4 linked regions of the Drosophila melanogaster genome follow. The protein of the gene in region 4 interacts with the protein of the main gene of each other region in a pairwise test. Each region holds a gene or a part of one and is shown on either strand. Other genes may lie near its edges.

Evidence for each region.
Region 1: the proteins of Pex3 (region 4) and CG43732 interact in a two-hybrid assay, tested with the Drosophila melanogaster proteins (one large-scale study listed by BioGRID).
Region 2: the proteins of Pex3 (region 4) and CG2611 interact in a two-hybrid assay, tested with the Drosophila melanogaster proteins (one large-scale study listed by BioGRID).
Region 3: the proteins of Pex3 (region 4) and CG14269 interact in a two-hybrid assay, tested with the Drosophila melanogaster proteins (one large-scale study listed by BioGRID).

What each region holds. Positions count from the first base shown.
Region 1 is NT_033777.3:18,946,802-18,954,027, reverse strand, and holds the start of CG43732 (uncharacterized protein), read right to left. Parts: upstream 3,833-7,226; 5' UTR 3,425-3,832; intron 1-3,424. Other genes in the region: CG42613 (uncharacterized protein), read right to left, coding at 6,021-6,729.
Region 2 is NT_033779.5:20,647,438-20,652,862, reverse strand, and holds CG2611 (uncharacterized protein), read right to left. Parts: upstream 2,675-5,425; 5' UTR 2,613-2,674; coding exon 2,403-2,612; intron 2,327-2,402; coding exon 2,138-2,326; 3' UTR 1,965-2,137; downstream 1-1,964. Other genes in the region: brun (brunelleschi), read left to right, coding at 1-462, 525-718, 778-969, 1,030-1,237, 1,303-1,573; CG18810 (uncharacterized protein), read right to left, coding at 2,924-3,826.
Region 3 is NC_004354.4:3,433,454-3,439,012, reverse strand, and holds CG14269 (uncharacterized protein), read left to right. Parts: upstream 1-3,205; 5' UTR 3,206-3,300; exon of another isoform or gene 3,301-3,350; 5' UTR 3,351-3,352; coding exon 3,353-3,925; 3' UTR 3,926-4,070; downstream 4,071-5,559.
Region 4 is NT_037436.4:15,141,167-15,147,983, forward strand, and holds Pex3 (peroxin 3), read left to right. Parts: upstream 1-3,188; 5' UTR 3,189-3,383; intron 3,384-3,502; 5' UTR 3,503-3,615; coding exon 3,616-4,773; 3' UTR 4,774-5,213; downstream 5,214-6,817. Other genes in the region: Pdi (protein disulfide isomerase), read right to left, coding at 1,134-1,287; CG32147 (uncharacterized protein), read right to left, coding at 2,083-2,544, 2,631-2,843.

The sequences.
Region 1 (7,226 bases), on a different chromosome or scaffold from region 4:
AAAACAGTGGCTGACTGGGGCTATTTGAATTGGCTTCCTGTCGGCGCTTATTTCATTGTGGCAGCCTCTGTTTATTTATAATTCGATTGGAAATGTGTTTGGTCAAAGAAGTTCATTTCGATTGGCGCCACCTCATCGCATTTTACGACCATTCGCGGTTTGTTTATCTTTCTGTGTTTAGGCTTAATTACCGTGGCATTTCATTCATATTTAATGTGTCGGAAAGTTCTGCCCACCCGCACAGAAACTCAATCGAAATCGGCCTTTGAGTGCTCGCTCGGTTAATGATTTTTATTGAAATCGGCATAGTTTTCACTCGACTGCCCAACGGTCCATAAATTCATAATGCTAAGGACGAAACTTTAGCTGGCTATTTGCTCCGTTCAGATTGATTAGAAGATTGATAGACTGGCTGTAGCTAAGTGAGAATGACTTGAACTTTGGGAACTACTCGTAATTGATTGGCTCAGCCAGTTTGTATTAGCTTTTTCACGCAGGAGATGCCAGCTAAAAGGTTGCGAGTGTGGTTTTGATCGCATGCCAAATAATTTATGTCTTTTGTTTTTTCGCCAGTTAACAAGGTCTTAAAGCTGGTAAGCCTTGTGCAAATTTCATTCCAGAGGTGGCACATCAAAAGACGATCCCTTCTTTAATCAGCAAACTCATTAGCATCGTCCGCTAACTAAATACAAATTAAAGAAACAGCATCCACAGCTGGCAAAGCCGCTTGCCTTTCCCCTTTTTCCACGCTTTTCCGCCTGCTCCTGCTGGTTGCTAAAAAGTTTTCACTTCGCAGCCGTCAAGTTGATGTAATGAAAAAGTTGCAGCATATTTTTAACAATATTTTCCCAGCTCATATCACATGACGTGGACACGCTGGCTACTTTCTACTGGCAAAAGCCAATGCTGCTGCGGAAAGCCTTCAAAACAACAAGAACTCGGCGTACAGGGCGCTAATTAGTTTCGAGTCGGCGTTTTCAATGGGAATATGGTTTGAAAAAACATCGCTCATACGCAACGTTGGCCCGCAGCCGCAGGTTATTATTATAATTTTGGTTCGGAATGGTAAAAAAAACGGAAATAAAACTTATTTCTAGCACACAAACTGAAATAAATAAACACTTTCGCTGCGAAAGTGGAGACCACACCCTCCACTCAAAGCCGTTTTGCACGTAGCTTTTCTCGTGAGCAGCCGTCGGGAAAATCGCTTGCAAAAGTGAAAATTGAACAAGGAACCAAAGGCGCAAAGGAAAACCATATGAGCAACGGGTTAGCACTGTGAAAGCGAATCCAGTGCAGCTCATTATAAAATAGCCAACGTAAAAAACCCTATTTCCGTTTTTTTTTTTTTGGGGGGGGGCGGGTCAAAGGTGCTCGCTCCGGACCCGAAAATTCACTTTGAGATTCCAAACAGAAATTTTAACGATGCATATAAAAACCCGGCGACGGCAAATGAATAAATAATTTATGCGTAAAGGTTCCTAAACATTCGAGTGGCTGGGTAACATTATTTGCAAAGTTACTCGTCTCTTCTTTCTTCGCATTTTCCACACGTAGCAAATTGTATCTCTCTATTACCTGGTGGAAGTAGCCTGATTTAGTGGCAGTGCCGCCCACCTTAGCCGAAGAAAAAGAAAAAAGGGTTGAGTTTAAAACCCAGCCAACCCCGCAAGTCGACTTTTCACGGGAGTCCCTTTGGGTTATGTTTGCTTATCACCTGGTTGGCTATCCAAACAAGGTGGAAAACGATTGCGGCCCTCTGTTTGCACATTTGGCACGTTTCAATTTCGCAGCGATTGCCGAACTGCATGCAAATTGCAACTGAATCCCACTTTTTTTTTGTACGTTTACTACTTTGCATATGGCAAAGAAACTGGGAAAGCACTTTCATCTGATGATCGACTGTATGGATAGACATCGGAGTGAGAAATAGTCAATTACGAAAATGATTTTCGTGAGTAATTATTAAATAAGCTGCAATTTCAGGTAGGCAGGCTGACTATAAACCATCGCTTATAGTGAAACGTGAGCGGAATTTAAAAAGGAAAGTAATTTACAAAATGTTTACAAATATATTGAGTATTGGTTAGAATAATTGGTTGCCGTTATTAGCATGTTTATAATAAGCGTGAACGAAAATAACGATTTTTAAACAAAATCGTTTCGTTGAAAATCAAAGTATAAATCTCTTGAAAAATATTGCATTCAATTCAATTAATCTTTTGCTGAAAGTGTAAACGGAAAAACACGTCTTCTGCTAGTAAAACTACAATTTTATTTCGCAGATCATTTCCCTTTTTTTTCGGATCAAACAAGAGTATATTCAGATCTAAAAAATGAATTGGAAGATGAGCAATGCGTTTACTCCTGCCTCAAATCGAAGCTGTCACTTGTCAGTGGCACGCGTTGCAGGAACGGAAATCGGAAAGTTCGCCCGGACTTTGGCTGTGACTCCAATTAAGCAGCTGGCGAACAGGTGAAACAGGTGAGACCCAGCAGAAGTTGTCATAACTGCCGTGGACACATTTCCATCGCCATCACCATCGTCCCTTTTTCTTCTGTCTTTTCCGCATTTATCCAGACTTATTGCTGCATTGCAAACAATACGAGGGCCATGTTGTAAATCCCCCAACAATTGTCTGCCTCCAGTTCGTTTTGTAACCTTTCGTTGCCCAGATTGCCCTCTCCTGTTTAAGGACGTTCCAAGAAAAAGCAGCCAGGGTTACCGATTAGGAATGTATGGCCATTGTGCATGTGAACTAATAACGCATTTGTATGTTTGCTTTTGAAAATGGCGAGTTAGCTTGAACGTGAACTCATCCGAAGGAACATTCGCTCAATGCAAATAAAACCCAATTTTGCTGAAATGAGCATTTTTTTTTTTTTTTTTGGTGAATCGTATGGGCATGTGGACCGATTCCAAGAATCAATTTACATGGCCATTCTCGTTTGGTCAAAGGAATAGGTGTCATAGGTTGATATTAAATGGAAATGCAGCATTGTAAGTGTGGCAATAAATAATTCAATACACAGCACGGAGTGACTTTCATTTTAGTTGTTATACAAGTGAATTCCATTTAATAATTTCATTCGTGATAAATGATTAAGGTATTCTTATTTGGAATTGTTTGCCAAAAAACATTTGCATTTAAAATTGTATACGCGCACAAAAGAGGCATAACTTAAATATTGCAGTGGTTTTGCTGACTTTCAAACATCATTGTTTAATTTTAAGCGAGTATGATGTTTAAATGTCTTTAATCCTACCAAGTGATTCTGCAAAATACCTCCCAGCCTTTTGCCCCGATTGATCACCATAAATAGCCCACTCCACAATCTTATAAATGCCGAATATCTCAATTGTGCACCATAGCCAAGGCAATTTCAAAAGAATATGTAATTCGGTTTCCATTTGAATATTTACGTCTCGCTGCCGAGGGCTTTCTCAATTGATTTGTAATTCACTTTTGTGTCGAACAATTCCGCGTTGAGCTCTCCGTTTGCCAGGCCAGGGTTTTTCTTATCGCCGGGATTGGTTTGGCCGGATTTTGGATTTTGGATTTTGACACCGAAACGGAATGCTTAAGCAAACATTAAAATGCAAACGCACAGGACGAAGCGATAAGGCGGAAAGAACAAGAGACCTTAATCGGTGGTCAAAAGCGGGAAAAGTGCGCGCGTTGCTGGGAAAACTGATTCGAGGCTCCTGTCACACGATGCGATTAATGACGCGTTCAAAAGCTGGTGGCAAGCGGAATCCGGAGCTGAATTGAGCTGGCTGAAAAGCGCGTTGCGAGTGTGTGTGCCGCACGGCCGACTGAAATCGACTGACTACGCTCGGCTGCTGCCACGGCATTTAAGGCAGAGAGTGAAGTCGGAAAATGCGAGGAAAATTCGGAGGAAAAGCGAGAGAGCACGCCGCGATGACATCAAGTGAAAGCTCTGCCATTTGAATCGAGAGACGGCTGTTAGTCCAACGCCAATATAGTACGGCAGCGAAATAAATCAAATTGAATCTATGATTTCGTTTTTGTGCACTTCTTTTTTCTACTTCAGGACCCCAGGACTCCTTGGCGCAGCCTCCTCCTCCTCCGCCTCCTTCTCGAGTGGATCCTTCAAGTTGTTTGCCACCGGATTTCATTTGGCTGCGGCTCAATGAGCCGTCGATTCTGTTTGTTCGAGTGGCCGACGAGCGCTTTAATCGCCCATCCAAAGCCAAAACCAAAGCCGCCACTCGAGACAGCTGGCAGGTGGCAGATTTCAGGTGAAACCCGAAGGTTTCCAGGTGCCAGGCCATCAGGTGGTGCCAAAGCTGACAGGTGAGAATCTTGTTTAACTTCGGCTTCTGCTCATTATGCTCCTCCCGTTTTGGTCCGACTTGGCCGTTTGTGCGGATAATTGCCGCCTTCAATTTAAATTGCCAACGAGCTTGGCGCACCTAATTTTCGATTTCATTTAATTTGGCGCAAATCTCATTAGGGCAAAAACGTCGCCCAAGATAAATGGCAGTGTGTTCTTTTGTTTTTTTTTCTTGCTCTTCGTCCGAGGCATCGAATCGCAGATACTTTGACCTGTGCCTGGGGCACTGGCGTCTTTGACTTTCCCTGCTCCGTCCGGCATGCCAAGTCAGCGATTTATTTGGGCCAAACAATGGCGGGATAACCCAGCAAACATTCACTGGCCAACTGATAAGCGCCAATCTCTTGGCAAATGATAACACCGTTGGCCTGGCAGCGCAGGCGCGAGCTTTTCCACAAGAGAGAGATAACGATGGAGAGAGTGGAAAAGCCAGAGAGCTCTGCCAACTGATAAGAAAGCAGCAGACTTATGCTGCCTCTGCATCTGCGGCTTCAATTGTCTTTAATCGCTGCTCAAATGTCGATGATGTCCTGGGAAGTGTTCTGTGGGATGGGTTGGAAAATTGGAGAGCGGTTACCCCGGGGAGGAACTTTAACGAATTGTCATTGATTTCTTTTGAAATGGCACCGCTTTTGTTTGCCTTCGCTTCTGCCACATTAGGCAGCTGAGCAGGGGGGGGATTCTGCTCCTCTAACTCTGATTACTGCAGCTCTGCCTATCGGGGGCAATGATCACAGATTGAATTTGCTCCGGCGGCAGCCGGTCTTAAATAATTATGAGCGCGTTTAATTAATAAGTTTGCCAAGGCAGCAACAAAGACCTCGAAAAGGGTTCTTCCAGAAATATGCTGTTATTGTTTTTGCGGCCGGGAAGCAATTAAGACCGCCTAGCGCATTGTCTTCTCGGCCTCAGCCCCGTTTGACCCCAACTTTGTTATAAATTTGCCTTTGTGCGTGCTCTGAAAAATGACCAGCCCCTCAAATGTAGAAAAAAATAAATATATATATATAAAAACTGTCACACAAAGAGTTTGAAAAACCGAAAATGAAAAAGAGATAACTCAGATCCGAAAGGGGCAGGGACTGGGGTGCCGGAGCGGATTGCTTCCTTCCTGCCGGGGGACGCTCACTTTTGCCGGTCATTAAATTTTTTTCCATTGCCTTTGGCAGTCGATACATATTTGGCTGCGTACATAAATAATGAGCTCAGTTGTTGTTTGGCCAGATTTGCAAATGTTCTTCGACAGTTTCAATTATTTATTTACCAGCCCAGCCGACGACTACAGTGAGCACTCAGTGGGGTCTTTAAAACTGGCAGGCTAAAAGCCAGCTAGTGGACACTCGAGACTTGCCAATTAGGACGTAGGAAAATTGTTTTACATGAGTTGGTTGAGAGTTACACATTTTTTAGCAGGACTATGGAGGGCAGCAGCAACTTTCACAGAAGTTTAAAGGGAAAAGTGCCATGCTAAACCATTAAAGTTTGATGTGGCTACATTTAGATACTATAAGTCCGGATTCAAATAAATTCATAAAATTCATGAAGACGAAAAACTTCTTCAGCTGTTAATAGTAAACCCATATTTTTAACAATTAAACATGAGGTACATCATGTACTTGTTAAATACTTTGCAACGAATCTAGTAAATAAAAAGTACTCACCTGCATAGAATAAAGGCAGCAGATTGAAGATGATAACCAGCGGAAATATAGAGCGTGCAAACTTTTGCATATCCGTAAGGATGCCGACTGCCGGAGTCGTTGAAGCCGCAGCAGCGTAGTCCTTTGTGGCTTCGCCGTGTTGATAGAGCTTTCGTTGTTGTTTCGTAGAGTCCTGACTGACTTTGGAAGATAGGCGTGATAGGCAAGTGCTCGTGGCGAGGCGATCCTGCTCCGAAATCCCTGTAGAAGCGACCAAAGGGGCAGCAGTATCAGCCAGGTCCTGCTGTTGCTGCACGACAGGAAGAACAGCAACATTGCGGCCTGCAGCAATGTCGTCCAAAGGATTGCGCATCCTGTGCTGGGTGTCTCTATCGCTGTCAGAGTTCTCATCTGTGGTCCAGGACTGCGGACATTCGCTGGCTGGTACATCATCTGTTGCTGCTGCAGTTGCAGTTGTTCCTGTTGCTGATGTTGCTGCTGCCGCAAGTGTTGACTGGCATAATGTTGCTGCTGCTGTTGTTGTTGCTGTTGCTGCCTCTGATTCGCTTTGTGTTTGTGTGTGGCACAGAAACGTATCGTTTTGAAATTGCTTCCGACTGATGCAGTTGCAGTTATTCGTGTGCTGCTGTTGTTGTAAAGGTTGTCGTGTTGTTGTTGAAGAAATTGTTGTTGGTGTGTTATAGAAATGTCGTATCTGTGCTGAGGCCATGTTGTGCCCTGAAATGAGATATAAAACGGCAACAAAGCCATTAAATCGATGTTGAAAACCAATAAGCATAGTGTGCACATTAAATTGACAATTCGAACTGTCCGCCATTAAGTTTTGATAAGCCCATTGCTTTGATTATCGACCCCAACAACGCTGTTGCAAGGATTTCAAGCCGAAAGGGATGCGGACAGCATCACAAAGCATTTGGGTTCTTGTTCTTTTAATCAATTTCCACTGGCACGCCCATTCGGTTAACGCCGGCGGGCAATCCTTTTGCTGTTTTTTACAATCAGCCAAATCCCCGACTCTCTTTTTTAACTGGGTTTTGACCGAGGGTTAATGTTTGTTTTTCCAACGTTTTCTAAAGTTTTGTGTGTTTTTATTTACAAAGGAAGTAAGCGTAAGCCGACAAAAATTTAACATGTAATTTAATTTCATCTTTATTAAAAACTTGTGTATTTATTTGTGTTAAAAAATGATGTTACTATGATTTGGTA
Region 2 (5,425 bases), on a different chromosome or scaffold from region 4:
GGGCACCATTGAAATCATAGTGGATGTTTTTGCCGAAGCGGACTTCGTTTGTCCTCAACCACCTGCTTCATTGCATTCTGCCGCTGCTCCTGGGGACTACGGTGCGTCGTCACTAACGCACTACTCGAGCGTGTCCACCTCTGGGCACGCCAGCTTACCCTCGAGAGTCGGTTCACCGCATCATCGTCGAAATGAGCCACAGAATTCCAGTTTCCGGTCGACCATTTCTGGCGGTCCACCATCGCTGGCTGCCTTAACCCTGCACCCTGGCGGCGGTGGAGGAGTAGGACCTTCCAGCCTTGGGTCACAATATAACCAGCACATAGAGGCGCAAGTTAGATTTAAGTACTCGGGCGGAGATGCTTTGACGGCGGGCTACTGTCGCCAATGTGCGGTGTCCTTTAATCTAGAACTTTTGCCTAGCGTACAGATTACAAGCTGGGATGTGCTTCCCGCAGAGGTGTAAGTGCAATCTTCTCGTTTTTCAAAGTAACTCCTTCTAACATTGTATATCAAATTTACAGAGCCTCCCAATTTTACCTGGTACTTGACATCTCCAACCTAACCGCTCAAGAGATGTCGCTCAACTATACGGACACCAAGAATATACTCATCGAGGCCAAAGAGAGCTGCCGAGTGCCCATACCCGTGGATCGGTGCTCCTTGGAGAAAGTGGTGGCTGCTCGGGCGGCCGAGGTAGCTGAGAATCTGGAGAGGGGTATGATGAATCCCGCTTAATATGAGCTCATTCACTATTTGTGCTTATCTTTTTACTAGAACTCTGCTTCCGGACGCAGCTGCTGTCGTTTAACGATGCTCTGAGTAAGCTCTGCTCAATTCATATAGCTGAAAGGGTGAAAATCAAGTGGCTGTTAACGGGGACGGACATTCAGGGAATCGCCTCACTGCGAGGAATAGTTCTCTCCCAGTCTATGGTGGATTTGACAGCTGTGTCGCCTTTGGAGTGGGGTGTGTTTGTTTAGAATCTTCCTTACCGACTTTGTAATGACAATTGTATTACACCTTTAGCTATCAGCTTTCAAGACACGCTCGTGCAGCCACACAATGAGATTGTATGCACGGTGGGACAGCGGTCGCTGCTAAGCATCCAGCTGGCCAATCAATCCCTGCAACCACTTAGAAATCTGGTGCTGAGCATTAAGTTCTATCAGGATTACCTGAACGGAATGGAAAATTACAATTTGGAGACACGCGTGGCCATTTCAGGACCAAATAGGTGAGAGCTGAAGAAAAATATTGAAACGAAGCAGTTAAATATTTAGACAATATCAACCCTCTTAGAATTGCAATACCACTACTGGAGAAGCAGGAGCAGAAAGAGCATACTTGCTCTGTGATATTCTTTACCCCCGGACGTTTCAAGGCCAGCATCGAATGCACCAGCAATCCGCAGAAGCAGTCGGAGCAGCCGTCGTCATTGCTAACCCGCTCCTGTCCGGCAGAAGCGGAGAGTGTCGGCCAATCGGTCATGTTCTCCTCCAGCTACGATGAGCAGCAGGCGCATGTGTGGAAGTTCATTCCGCCCATCGAGGTGACCGTCGTGGAGCAGTGAAATGTTACCTGTCGCTAGTTTAATTTCGTTACAATGTTTGTGTATGTATTGTGTATACACCCCATACTAATCCCCTACTCTTGTTAAAGTATTTGATTCCCACGCGCCCTGTTATATCCGTAAACACGAAAAGCAATTGTTTGTAAAGAATTCTTACCTACATAGATACAACATGTAACGCATAACACTGTATATAATTAAGCTGAAACACAAAGTTATACTGTGCCCCAAGCTTGATAGAGAAAATGGCCATAACATAAATCATATAACCTATAGTTCATGCCTGTAAAACATATACATATTTAAGCAAGCGATGCGCTATTTAAATAGATAGCCAATGTTCCGCGCACTAGAAGCCACGCCAAGCATTATACATTTTGATAACGAAGCTCGTGTTTAAAAAATATTTTTATACAATTACCGGGGCAATACACATGTATCATAATGAACTACATATTAAGATTGTTGCTAAAGAAATTATGCCAATGAAATGTGTGAATAACTGTAGTGTAAAAGCAATAAACTCTATTTGACGAAACATTTGGTGTCTTTGGTTTCTCCTTTTCAGCCGAGTCTTCGTATCTCGTCCATGGTGAATCCGTTGCGGTTGAGCATTATGCAGAAGAGCACGTACACATAGTAGCTTCCCGGGATGAAGGTCAGTGCCCCGATGATACCCAACGCCCACACCCGATCCGATCGCTCCCGGCTCGTGTCCGTCACCCAGTTTAAGGTGGCAAAGGCGATGCAAACCTGAAGACAAAGACATCAGATCAGAAGTTCGAAGGAACTGTGCATGTATGTGTGGGCACCAGTAATCACTACTCACAATGCCACCGATAAACAGCAAAAGAATGATAATAATGGTCTTCCAAGGCACTGGACCTGGCATCGCCGGTTCCGTCCACTGTTCATTAACGAATCCATCGGTCTCGCATTGGGACTCCACCACCTTGATGTACTCTCCGGAGCCTGCTGGCGCGGAACTCCTGCCCCCTCCATTTAGGCGGTGCCGCGACTCCGAATTGGTGGGCTCCATATGTGGTCTCTACCTACTGGCAGTTGATCTTGACCAGATGCCAATTTCAGACTAAACAAACAAGCATTTTGCGGCAAGTCAATGTTATCAGGAAAACAGCTGACGAGACTGCCAACCTGGGGAAAATCAGCAAGCACAGTAGAGACCAAATAAAACGAAACATACACATATCGCATAATAACACATCCTTAAATATTTAACTTTTTAATTTGGAAAGCTTTCTTGCATGCCTGAACTAATCAAATGAATTCGAATTTTTAATTTTTCATCGCACCGGTAATTTGGAAAACACAGAGAATGCATAAAATTATTTAGCCATCCTTGATGGTTGTTTCTGAGCACCAATCTGCCACACGTTCGTTGTCGGGATCCAGATCAAATCCGTCGTGGTCCAGCTGGCTGGGAACAAATCCGGAGATCCAGGTCCACTTCATTCGCCTGCCCAAGAACGTCTTGAAGTTTCGGCGCAGTTTTCGGTCAAAAGGAATGTTTTGAAGTTCAAAATCATAGCAAAAATAGCCACGAGACCACTGATCATAAGCCACATAGGTAGCTACGCATACCCCGATCCACAGCAGGACGAATACCAGAGTGAACACCAGCTCGTATATATCGGGCAACTTAAAGTAGATTATCCTGATAATAAGCGAGTTAAAATAGGCAGAGTTCGGTGCGGGATGTGTCAGCATAAAGAGCTGGTATCTGCCCCCATGCAGAACGTAAATAAATATCGAAGATGACGTTAGTGAAATCATGCAGCTTAGAAAAAAGTAGATAAGAAAATAGAAAAAGTATCTATAGTTCTCATGACCGATGCAGCAACCAGTAAAGAAGCAGTGATGATCTCGCATCAGGACACAGACGCCACACTTCCTGCAGTGACGTGACCGGGGTGGAGCAAGAATCCCGCACTTGTCGCACTCGTGCCAGTCCTCACTGTGCTGTCCGCGCACCAACTGATTCTTCATAAGCTTGGGATCGATGCTGGGGTCCACCAGGATGCACATGACATAGTTGGACATCACATTCGAAAAGAGGAACAGTCCCAGCAGCAGCTGAAATACGTAACCAGGTGACCAATAATCCGACAACTCCGGCAGAATTATCTCCATTAGAACATAGTATATGGCGGGCAAGCCACATAAAATGAACAAAAATAGGAATTGCTCCAACTTCTCTTTTGGCCATATGTTCTTCAGCGACCGAAACCTCATTATAACGAAAGTGATTTGATCAATTTGTAAAAACTTTACTGCAGATTGCAAAACTGGTTTGGAAAAAGTATTGGTGTGACTTTGAATTAGTTATTCCAGCCTACACGATGTATCAATATTTTTTCTCCCTTTTCCCAACCGTCTCTCAAAAATATTTAAAAAATAAAACTATGGCAAGCTGCATTCTGTTTCTATAAATATAATTTTATTAGATTTTTTACGTCCACTTTTCTGGCATCATGCAAGGGAGCCCTGTAAAATAAATAAAAATTATGCATAAGTATTTAATCATTATTCAGGGGTTACTCTAAATATATATTTTTACAGACAGTTCTAAAGATTTCCTAAAAAAAATATGTGCAAAATTATTTTTCTTTACTTTTGTTTACGGATCATTTTCATAGATTTAATAAATACAAACAAAATTCATGTTGTTTTAAAGAATACCCTTAGTTTCGTTTTTGTATTTGGTATTTTGTTTCCTAGACAATAGCTTAAGACTTGGCCTCAAATACTCCCATATTTATATATACGTACACATAACACTTTAAACTTACAAGTGTGGAAATCCTTCTTACGTAGGGTTTCTGTCAGAGAAATTCGGGTTTCAGCATTATCTAAAAAGAAAGAGTTATTGTAGTGTTGTTGAACATAAAATCACGCAAGCTAACAATATTTTAAAAATCAGATCTACTATCGAGATAAATCAGTCACAGATATCAGACGTCCCTATCTAACGATTTCATCACAAAAAAAAATCATAAATCTTTAGCAATCATTATACTTACAAGTGTGGAAATCATTCTTTCGTCGGTTTTCAGTCAGAAACATCAGTTTTTCTGCATTATCTAAAAAGAAAGAGTTATTGTAGTGTTGTTGAACATAAAATCACGCAAGCTAACAGTATTTTTAAAATCAGATCTACTATCGAGATAAATCAGTCACAGATATCAGACGTCCCTATCTAACGATTTCATCACAAAAAAAAAAAAATCATAAATCTTTAGCAATCATTATACTTACAAGTGTGGAAACCATTCTTTCGTCGGTTTTCAGTCAGAAACATCAGTTTTCTGCATTATATAAAAAGAACGAGTTATTTTAGTGCTGTTGAACATGAAAGCACGTAGGCTAGCAACATTTTTAAAATCAGATCTACTATCGAGATGAATCAGTCACAGTAATCAGTTGTCCCCATCTAACGATTTCATCATGGTTGTGGAGATCTTCTTTCTGTATTATTCTTACCGCGTAAACTTCCCATGCTGGTTGGTCCCAAGAAGTCTCAAAGTGAGACTCTTTGGGTCACAGCTGCCAGGCTGTCAAAGTGAATTGCTCGTTTCTCGTGATCCGCACATCTTTTAGTTACCATATAACTTTCAGCTATTTGACATATCTTTCTCTATTGTATTAAGCAAAATTTTGTTGCGTTTTCTATTAGCCATCGTGCTAATTTAGTTTATTTTTCTTGGAATGGGCAACACGTGGTGCGGCTTTCGGCTGGCATTAAACTGTGACTGCTTCTTCACCACCGTGACAAGAAAGAAGTGACGAACAAGAAAATACTGGAATGGAAATATTCTGTATTTTTTGGTGATT
Region 3 (5,559 bases), on a different chromosome or scaffold from region 4:
TGAATTAAAGATGCTACTCCAGCAGTCGAATGATTAATTTGACAAGAAACGATGTTCTTCTCGTTCGAAATGAAGAACTATATTTGGTAGGTAGCATGAATTACGATCAAAAGCACACAATTTTTGGAAGTGTGTTTGAACCAGTTCTATTATTTGCATTGGATGATTCCGGCTCTACTTGACATTTAAATGAAAGAGTTCTTTCTTTTTTTTTTTGTCAATTAAACATTCTTAATCACTGCAAACATGAAAGAAATCCGAACGATACACTTAAATGAATTGAGTCGATCAAAAAATAATTGGTTGGAATGGTTGTATTCATTGCAATATTCATAATAAATCATTTCATTCTACAATTTGGAACAACTATTTCATTATTCAACTAATGCCAAAAGCTCCAATGACCAACTCAATTGCCATTGCCAATTTAGTACGTATTAATTAACCATTTCCTGTCACATTATTATTACACCAGCCTGTTAACACAATTATTCATTCCATCTGATAGCGTCGATCTTCAGCTTTTTTGGACACACTTCTTTTTTTCTTTTTTTTTTTTTTTTGGTGGCCGCAAAAGTGTTTTGTATTTATCGTAAGTGTTTCCCTTGGCAAACCCATTATCCCATCCCAGCACCCGAATGAGGCAATCTGTATGTTGTATATGAATCACGGATCGCTTAGATCTGGAAACTTGTCCGGGCCACTTGGCCATAAATCAGGCGGGGCGACAATCGTGTACAAAGCCATGTTGTACATGCCTCGACTTCGGTTTGCACTTGTCAAAAATTCGCACATTTCTGATTCGCTGCTGCGGCTCACATTTTTTTTTTTTTTTTTTGGGTCTTGATTTCTGATTTCTGACTCGATGATCGGCCTCCAAAAAGTGCGTGCGGTGGTGTGTTGTCATTGTCGTGTAGCCGGCAATTAAAATTGGTCCCCTTCCGCTGGCCACCGCACCTCGCAAACCCCCTTGAACCATCAACGAGACCCACATGGAAGCAACTCGAAAAGCGCCCAAGAAATTGGCCAGGGCAGCTGTTAAATAATTTATGAAGTGCGTAGGGTTTCTGGCGCGCATTTCAAGCAGCTCGAGAGCCCCAAACGCAACTCATTTCATTTATTTCACTTCCAAAAACTCCGGCCAAATATTTGCGCATCGCTCACGCACTTTTTTTTTTTTGTGGACTGCCGCGATCAATTTGGTCGAGGCGTCTCCTTTGCAGATACTCTAATTAAAAGGAGTATCTGTGTTGCGACGATTACAAACTCGTAGAATTCTTGGCAATTTACAAATTATACCTACGAATTTTCACTAGTCTTTGTGAATGTTGAAGATTATATTGCCCAACTGTTAAGGCAATTAGATCATTATTATGTAATGATAATGACACAAAAAGAAGAGTATTTACTACTCGACTTCACTATTCATTTGCATTTGTCGATTTTTTGTTTGGCCCGTTTCAATTTTGTATGGTTTTGTTAGCCGGAAAATATTTGGCCACGCAGGTTTTTTTCTGTTTTTTTTTTTTCTTTTTTGTCTTCGGTGCGTTCCTCATTAAACATTTTGGCCAAAAATCCACTTGCGATCTGCATGCAAATGCCGCTGATTAGCCGGGGCGCCGAGTTGGCCATAAATCAATAGGCCTTTGCGCCTTGGCTGCCACACGAGCCACAAAAAGTCCGCAAGTGAAAAGTAAACTGGCCCAGAACGGAACCCAAAAAGTCGGGCTCAAAGCCAGCTGCAATCTGCGGAGAGCGTCTTTGCGATGGTCTGGCCTGCTTATGGTACGGTCTATTCCCCGCCAGATCCGGATCACGAATGTTCGCTCAACCTTGGCGTACAGTCAGGAAAGTCCGTCGAGGGTCGAGGGTTGTCTCTGCACTGCTAGAAAAAACGGGACTCTAATTTCCCAACATTGAGCAGTATTCATACGTACAGTCAGGAAAGTCCGTCGAGGGTCGAGGGTTGTCTCTGCACTGCTAGAAAAAACGGGACTCTAATTTCCCAACATTGAGCAGTATTCGTAACGAAGGGAAAATGTCAAAAGGCAAAAAAGCAGATTTAAAAGGCCCTATACAACACTGCATACTTTACTCGAATGTAACTGTTTTTTTTTTTTGCTCAGTGTGGCCAGGGGAAGTGTTAAGCTTGCCACAGAAAGTGGAAAAAAGAGCCTGATTAATTATGAATTGAGTGTCTGAGCCGAGTTGCCTGCACTTGCACTTCTGGCTTTTTTTTTCGTATTTTCATATTTCACTTGTTGCACTTGCGGCACTTTTTATATTTTTACGCTTGCAGAGCTCGCCTGCAGACTTCATACTGGTCATATGTATATATATATATATATGTATATATTGTCTGTGCGAACAGAGGTGGGGGCCCAAAAAGGGGCGTAGCCGGGGTCAGCGGCGAGTTTTGCAAAGGGGGAGGCACTCGAGCAACAACTTTCGTCACGCCACTCAGTGTAGTTGAAATGAGGAGCGGTTCAGCGAATCGGGCTACCGATATCTTCAAAACTATATATACTTTATATTCTCAAGCGTTATGATTGTGAGAATTTTATGATCAAATCAATAGAAATAGAATAGAAGTAAAACAAGTAAAGTTGATAATTGCAATTGAACAAACAAAATGATTGCTCTTTACAGATAGAACTTGCAACTTGGCCCCTGATCCGCTCCTGGCTCGGCTGTTGCACTTGCCACTTCACTTGCAACATGCACTAATGCTCAACGGCACGTCCCAGTGTCTTTATCATATAAACGGTGCGATTTAAATTAATAATTAAAGCGAGCTTGTGGTTGTGGTCCCCGGTCCGTTTTCAATCGTCTGGGGCCCTAAGTCTTTGGACTTTGGGCCCGGAGTCACGAGACTTTGAGCCATCTGCCGCCGGCAGGTGGATTGCAGGTGGATGCGAGCGGATTAAGCTGCCCACCCTTGATGCCATAAATCAACGGGGACATTGGGCTAGGTGCTCGCTGCTCTGTGCTCAGCCAGATGAGAAGTTGACCGGTCTGGTTCATCGCATCCCAGCGAGCCCATTGAAGACGAGCGAGCAAGAGCTCCGACTAGACCATATATTTATGTATGTACTTATCATACTGACATCTTAGGCGATCTAGCCATTATAGCTTATGACTTCAAGCTGATTCTTAAGTTTTTAGCAGGCTGTTAGGTTAGCTTTGCCACTTCTGTCAAATGGGCTAAAAGCGAGTTGACTAGCTCAAAATTTTTCGTTCGTTTCGTCGCTCTCGAAAATCGAAAATCGAAAATCAGAGGGGACAAACTATGTCAGAAGGGTCAGTTGAAGAGTAACAGATTTGAACGCACTAATTGAATTGAAAACTAGTTATGCTGGTCATGGACGCATTGTTTAACAGCCTATTGGTGGTCAGTTCCGGCTATGCGATCTACACTCTCCATCCAATGGAAACACCCTATGGCTATGCAACAGCGGCCTTGAGCCTGGTCCATGGAATTTTGGGAATGGTGCGAGCGGCGAGCAACGACGATGACGAATGCAATCGGGTGCGATTGATTACGTCGGGCATCATGGAGATAGTACCGCTGCCCCTGACCAATATGGAGCTGTATCTGAAGTCCACCAATCCGGGCTTGGCTTTGGCGCACACATGTTTTGTGGTGCCATTAGTCTACGATATGTTGGCCAAAGTGGTTGACACCGAGGATACCGTAACGGAGACCCTTAAGGAACTAACACTGTTGGGCAACGTTGTGTCCATGCTCTTTTTGGGCGTCAACGAGTCGAATAATATGTACGGCATCTTGGCTGCCATCGCTTTTGGTGCTCGATACGGTTCCGCTTTTCTCGACTACTACTGGAAGGGATTAGGTGCCGAATTCACCCTACTGGCCCACTCCATGTTTGTCCTACTGATGACGATGACCCTTTCGGCGAAATGAAGACCAATAGACCTCCCAGAATATAACCTATCCGCATTCAAGGCCAGCGGTTAGGTTCGTTGGCTTTCAGCTCAATAAACTTGCAATTAATGTTGGCAAATTAAAATGCAAAAATAAACATTAATTGTTTTGTCACATTCGCAGCACGACCAAAAAACTTAAGTGTCTACATCTCTCTTTTGTCTGCCCCTTTTTGTCGCCAGCGCCAGCACACGATCTCCATCATCCAAAGATCCAGAGAGATCCAGCTGTGGATAACATTTTAGCTTCAATTTACAACGTCAGCGGCGAGCGCCAAATGAGCCAAATGAGCTGATCCCCATTCAAAACCAAAAAAAAAAAAATGAAAAAACAAGGCTTGAGTTAAGATGGACGTGCTCTTAATATATACACTTAAATACCAAGATGCATGATCATAAATGGATTTTGTTCTTCCAGCAAAAATCAAAAATTCATTTAAAATAATATCCCAACCAGTTGATAAGAACCGGGAAATACATATGTCTGTATTTCCGGGAGCGAGTCAAGGACATGACCAAATAAATGTGGCCTACTTTTGGGAGCCGGGACGCGTCAATCTCGTAGGCTAAATGCTAAAATACCGGGGCCATTAAAACCAAACAACAAAAAACAGCGGAAAAGAGCTGCGAACTCGGCGAATGGTTAATAATTTATGCATTTTAATTAATTGCCAGTTGCGGGACCCCGTTGCCAGGTTTTTATGATGGCTCTGAGCGTTCGGAGATCGGAGATCGGTTATATACCCCCCCTTTGGCGCTAATCATGTCGTCATTTGCATTTCAAGGGACTAGCTGTATTCAACAGACATCCATTTTTACAAAAATGCAACAAAAAAAACCAATCACAAAATTCGCACAAATTCAATAAGAACATAGAAGCCAAGAATATTATTGCATCGAGACGAATATTGTACACCGAATGTGACTGCGCAAGTTCAAAAACCTGCAGAGCGAGTGACTCAGTCGGTTAAAAAAGCCGGCCGGCATTGGCGAATGTCTCCTCTTATTTTTCTCATTTTATTTTTGCCGGCAGCTTTTGCGTAGTTGTATTGGCGTGTTTATTAAAAAAAAAAAAAGAAAAGAAAAAGGCAAAAATACGTTAAGCAAAAACAAAAAAAAAAAAAAAAACGATGCATGCAAAATGAATGCGGACATTGGAGAGACGGAAAGAGTGCGAATGCGAAATACAGCTAATGAATGCGAAATGGAACACAGAGGCCACAAAATGAAATGGCCCAGAGATACGCACCAGACATACCCTCGAAGATAAAGTTTTTTTTTTTTTGTAAACAGTGTACCAAAGATGCTAGCCAGAAATGAGCAGTAGAATTGGAATGTCCTCAAATTGCAATCCCAAAAGTTAAAGTTAATACTCAGAGCATGTTATGATACCAAAATCCAAATGAGCGTAAATTGAATATGCCTACTTGCCGCCACATGTATCTTTAATGAATGCGCCAGCCAATGTGTTCAAAAAGAAACGGTCAACGGTGCGGGTCGACGCCAACGCCACCGACATCTTTCGTTATGTATGTATGTACCATACATATCGCCCTATATATATACATATATATATATATATATATATATATATATATATATATATATATACGC
Region 4 (6,817 bases):
TTTGCAGGCCGTTTGTAGGCTTTTAACACATGCAATAGACAATTTTGCTCATAATATAAAACAAAAATTTTCTAAAGGTCAGATCTCTTTTCAAATGAACATTTTAAATCATTTTACAGCAGTATATAATTACACCTCTTTCCCAGTTCTGGCTATTTTCTAGCTAATTACCATGCACACTAATCTGTTGCTCGTGCCGAGCATCACTGGCGACGCAACACCGTTAGGCACGCGCAAAGACGCAGAGAAAGAGTTGAATGAACTTTCCAATGTATGGCCGTTGCGCCGCCGTGGAAAAAGGGACAGAAACCAGATTGTAAGTGAGAATTAGAACCAAAAAATCCAAACAGAACGAACCAGAGAAAGCAAATGGCGAATAAAAAGTGGTTTGGTTTGCTCAGGCTAACCTAGATTCGTGGGAGGAGAAGAGATGAGTTGCCCGACAACTTTTTGTTGCCTTTTGTTTCCATTAGATATTCTCAGTCGGAGATTATTGAAGCGGATGTGTGATATGCTGTGGCCACGCCCCACGGGCGCAGTGTTAGAACAATAACTAGAAATGTCGATAAAACGCAAAGCATATGCTGCGCACAACTTATTGTTTCCTTTGGCATTTAGTATTTGCAAGAATACAAAATTATAGCAGGTTTATGGCGACAACAATAACAAGTAGTACTGCAGTATAAGGCTATAAGGCCTTCTCGCTTGCGTGCACAGGTGCGGAAAAGAGATGGCACTTGCGTTTGAGAGAGCGCGCTCCTCCCTGCCCGTCACAAAAAAAACACAAGATGACGCGAGAGAGATAAAAACAGTTAAACAAACGATAAATTTGCTGGAAAATCAACTAAACAAATTTTCCAGGCCGCCGATTGGAACTAGTCTGTCAGTTGGCCCATTGATCAACTAGGATTTGCCGTGCAACATGATAGTCCAGATTTCAAGTCAACAACAACTGCCACGCAGACAGATTTTCTCCGACGCTTTGAAAGACCACGTAGCCGCTAAGCCGCATGAATCAGCGGGTGCGAGTGAGAGCGCGCTAGCGGCCGGCGCATTTCGCATTTTGATATTCGATTTTTGCCACATTTTGTTGAGATTTTCGTGCCTTATTTTCGATCTAAGCATGTACTTACAGAACTCGACCAGCACGAACTCGTTGTCGGCAATCAGCTGCTTGAAGTTGTCCACCGTCGCCACCAGAACACCCTCCTCAACTTTGACCTCCGCCTCGGCGGAAGCGGCCACGTAGGACGCCGCCAAGAAAAGTGCACAGATCAGGAATTTCATTGCGGGCACTCGTCGTCGTTTGATATTTATTGAATCTATTGCCCTATGTGGGTGCAGCACACTCGCCAACCAAAACTGGGATTCGAACTGCGCTGAACTTGCCCGGTTGCAAGTAGAAATTCAAATGAATTCAAGTGACAGTGAAACGCAGAGATATATACATATAAAGCTGAATTAGGTGAGGGATTTTTGGTATTTCTCTACAAGTTTCCGATAAATTTTACTAATATCGATATTTGTCAATGAATGAGCATTGAACTGTAGGTGGCGCTTGGGTGCCCAAAGGTTGGCAATCGTCGAAGGTAAATTTTTTTAGTTTAGGATCTCGTTTATATATTTGAAGTTTTATTTTTATATTTAACTAATTCAGTAATGTACTATTTTTTTTTTAAATATTACGGTTTTTTCGAATACCATAATTTTAAAATATTGTGATATAAATAGTATCGTATTGTATTGTATATAAGTTAACTTGTATTTAACATAAGGCAATTTGTAAAGGCCTTATAATTCTTCTTTTTAATTCATTTTTTTTATTAAATTTTATTTTAAATAACTTACGTCATTCTCTTTATGTCATTTACCCTTTTTAAAATAAAGACTGGTGTTGTGTAAACGCAAAAAAGACTGTGTAATTATTAATGCAGTTGTATTGCTTCTCTGTTTCATTGTAATAAAAAGTAAATATAAAATATTGTATCTTAAAAAGAATAAAACTCATTTCTTAAACAACTTAACAGCACACATGTAAATAATTCTTAAAAAGACAGATATTGGAAGAATATTTTGCGGAATTCAGGAGTCAAAAGCGACCACCTGTTGAATGCATTGTTCGACTATGCTAAAAAGTATTTCCGAAGTCTTAACACTACTAAATGGCCTATCTACAGGAGGTACATGGACAAACAGGCTTCGTTTTCTGTCCATATCGAGCGATTTCAGATAGATATAGCCGCAGAGAAAGTCACCCACATTTTTGGATGCCTTTGTGGCGCTCAGGGATTTGAGATTATCATTATGTGTCGGCTGTTGTGTGGGTCCCACACAATCGGCGCAATTCTCATTTACAACCGCCACAATCTTATCCACATCTAATTCGGTCTTCAAGACATTTGCATGTCCATTGTTGGGTAGTTCGCAAGTGCCGTTGGCCAGTTTTTTATCACAATTATCAGCTCGGCGGAACTTGTGATTGTACGCCAGCTTCTCGATGTATACACACTTGGCAACGCCCGAAACACCGACATGGATAACAAGCTGTTTTTTTTTTGTTTTTTATTTTTTTGGGAGAAAGATGATATCATAAGGCCTCTATCTATTTATGGTTCAATTGCGATGCTTACATATGGCTGGCGTTTCCAAATCTCCGCCACCGCCTCGTCCACAGCCCCGTATTCCACCGAAACCAACCGCTTTTCCAGATCATATTCTATGCCATCGTGAGTTAGGATTTCCGGCAGCAGTTTCACAGCTTCCCAGCTGGCGTTGACCGCTTCGTGACCGAGAAATGGACCAAATCCGGAGACTACAATGAGCTTTCGATCTGACGACGCCATAACAAACACCCCAACTAAACTAAACCCCCCACCAACAACAGAACTATCTTAAATACCATATGATTTCTATCTTCTTCTTCACCCTTTGAATCATGCGTTTCAAATGTTTGCGACGATGGCGGAACGGTGGAAATTGGAGCATATCGAAGTTTTTTATTTTTCGTCATTTATAGGTGAATTAACATTATTTTATATTTTCTATTTTTTTTTGAACCCACTTCGAAATAACGAAAAAATAAATAACTAAAAAGCATCCCCATTTTCAATAAAAATTTAAACAGTAACACCAAATATACTAAACGAAATGGTATTTTTCGGTATTCCCGAACCTCGCACTTTTGGGATTTTTCTTGAACGGAAACAGACGACGCAGTATGCGGCACCAAACAGAGAAATAACACATTTAGCGACAACAACAAAGGATAAATCCATTCCATACATTCCAGAGCTAGATCCGATCCAAAGGCCAGCAATCGACCCGATAAGGCGGCGCACCAGATCCGAGTTTCCGAGCAGGGGTATATAGGTGAGCACTACCTGGTAATCTAATCGCTGCGGATGAGTGGAGGACGCTCCTCTGTTGGCAGCGACGCCGGCAGCGCACCACCCTACGCACACAGGTGAACTTTGCACATTAACTATTTATTAACCTCGAACAGGTCGCCGGTGGAGCGGGAAAAAGTGGGATATCTGAACAGCAGTTGGCCTATTTCACACAGGAAGCGGATTCTAGTTGTCCATCCGGCAGAAGAGGCCTTTTCCAATCGTTAACATGCTGTCGCGCCTGCAGGACTTCTTGTCACGCCACCGGCGAAAGTTCATAGTGACCGGCGTTCTGGTGGGCGGTACCATCTTTGCGGCACGTTATGCACAACGGCGATTCGTGGAGTTCCAGGAGAAACAGGCCAGGGAATTCTTCGAGAGAACGCGGCGCACGACCCACTTTGAGTCGACGGAGAAGACGTGTAACCAGGTGATCCTAGGCATGGGCGAGGAGATGTGCCAAGCGGTTCTGAGGGAGTGCAGCACGGACGAGCTGCTCGAGCAGCTGCGCCAGAATCCCAAGAACAAGTTGGAACTTTGGGAGGACATGAAAATTGTGGCATTCACAAGACTGGCAACCTATGTCTACGCCTCCTCCATGCTGGTTATTGCGTTGAGGGTCCAGCTAAATCTTCTCGGTGGCTACATCTATCGGGACATCATGACGGAACAAAAACAAGTCACCGACGAGCTAAAGCAGCAGTATCTCTCCCTCATCCGACACTTTATCACGGATTCGGGCATCCGGGACTTAGCCCGTTACATTCGCACCCAGGTCATCGCAGTCACCAAGACCATACCGCTCTCCGAACAGCTTTCCCTTAGCGACCTGGAGCAACTGTTTTGGTCACTGCAAATGGCCATCAATGCGGACACTCGTCGGGATCCCAACTCGCGAATGAGCAAGTATCTGCTGCCCAGCCAGAATCCCAGTCATTCGCCGCTGCTGCAAAAGATGGTCAACGAGACGCTGGATCTGTTGGAGAGCGAGGATGCCGTTGGCGTGTGCTCGCACAATGTAAGCCGTGGTTTTGTGCTGGCCTGCGATGCCATCGCCGAAAGCATGGGCGAAACTTTGCAGCATCTGCCACAAGCTAAAGTCCAAACGCAGCAAGAACAGAGCGTCAAGTTTAACCAGGCAGGAAGCTTAGGCGCCAGCACCTCGAAGAGCCAAAACGGTCTGGAGAACAATAACTTGCTGAACATCAACCGAGTGCTGTTGGCGTTGGCAAAGCTCATTCCTATCATCAGTGGTCTCACCTCGAGAGGCTTCGATACCACTTCGCGACCCCACAATCTGCCCACCCAACTGCTAACCTTCTACGTGGTCGCCGAGAAGACAAAGACGCTGGGGGCCAACGTCTACGAAAGCTTTAGCTCCGCTTAGAGGATCAACAAAACTTGGATTATGCATCCGTGCATAGGCTAGGCTAAGACAATTGGAAAATTATAGTTTATATACTTGTATATTTTTAATAAGATCTGTATTCTCAGAAGCATTGTTTGTATGTCTGCTTGAACCCAACCCGTATTAGGTTTAGCTTCGTCCACGGGGAATCCTTTCAGGGCAGGGACACAAATCGAGTAACGTGAAGGCCTTTTAATCTAAATGGAAAGTTAGGAAATGCAACATATGAGAGAATCATATAGGATGGACCTGAGGGTAGTTTAGTATCCAAACTATATGAAAATGTAATTTAAAGTGTAATTGATTAATAGAATGATAAGTGACAGATTATTTATTTATACCATGCTAGAAAGCTTGGGTCTTAATCTTAAAGGAAGTGTAAACAAATGGCAACCTAATAAACTATGCATTCCCCGTATTTAAAGACTATTATTTTGCATATTAAAGTTTTTGAAGGAACTTATTCTTTTTATTCTTACAGCTAATTAAAACAGATATTGATTTATAGAATGATAAATTATACATGCGTACATAGGTGCATACTTGTATTGAATTAATAAGAAATAAATTCAATAATTATGTCGGAGATATACGAGATTCTTATATACTTTTTCCTCCAAGTTTCTAACAGTTTGCGGTTTTAAATGTACATAATATATTAATTTAGTAACGGAGCAACGGTTATCTGATAATCGGGGAACTCGACTATAGCATTCTCTCTTGTTATAAATGCTTAATATGTATAAAAATATAAGAATTGAATTATCGAAGACACAACCCACAAGTAACGGTTGTCTTTGCTATCAGTCAAAAGGGGGTGGCAGAAAACCGCCCTGTGATAAGACAGCTGTGTCTGTGGCTTTTGTTTGTTTGCCATTTCTCTTGTTCTTGCCGCTCTCTCCCTTGTTCACTCTCTTCAAGCACTTGCGCAGAAATGCCGCATGTGCGAAGATTCATTATAATATAACAATTATGAATAACTATCAAGCAGAAAGTAACTTAAAAGATTTCATAAATTGAACCAAGTTTATGCTTAAGGAGGTGAAAGTAATTAGATACATTTACATCACGCTCGCCCCTCTGCGACTTGTTCGCTCTCGCAGGACTCTCTCTTCACATCCGTCTCTCTTACTCCTTCGGGTGCCCAGCTGTCTGGTACAAAATTTCCATTTTGGGCGCAGTTGCAAAAGTTACGTGAAAAGGCAAAGGACAACAGTTACTTTTATACATCCCTGCGAGACTTTGCGTATGTGTTGGTGTAAAAAAAATAATTAAATATACAAAAATGAAAGAAATGCATTGAATAACTGATTCGAAGCCAAGTTAAAACCGAGTGTGCAAATATGAGAAATACTGCAAAAAGTACACAAATTGGAAAAGCCAGCTAAAGGAGGAAAGCCCACCGTCAAACAAACAAACAACAACAACGGCGGCTCAATTGTGTAAGTGCACTTGCAAAATGTTTATTAACCAGTCGATGGGGCTAAAAGCCCACTTAGCCCATCAACTTTTTACTAGCCGACCACAAAATATATTGATTAAGACAAAGAGAAAACTGAACATGAAAATCAAAAGGCCACATGAGCACATGTGAGCGAAAAAGACAGACACAGCGGTATATTGGTAACGGGACAGACAGTGCGTGCGTACAGTGGTGTGGGAGGGGGCTGCAAAGGCGGTGGTGTGGGGGAAAGGCAGTAACGGCAGTAACGGGAATACCACTCTTATAAGGTCTAAAAATATCAACACTTTATTATTAGCAGGGCCACAAGTGAGCAAACTAACTAATTGCGAAGAAACAATCAAATACTACTCAAAGGCAGCTCCTCGAAACGAGTGCTCAAGAAATAATGGTAAGGCACTACAAAGTACCCTTAAAAAAGTCATGACAGTATCGAATTTGGTATAGGCTTTAAATCTAAAAAATTTAATTAAATGAAATCAAAGGATCAAAAAGCTTTTTCAAAATCTTAAGGATCAAATAAAAGTTTTCCAACTGGCATAGGTTTTAATAAAGGTTAAA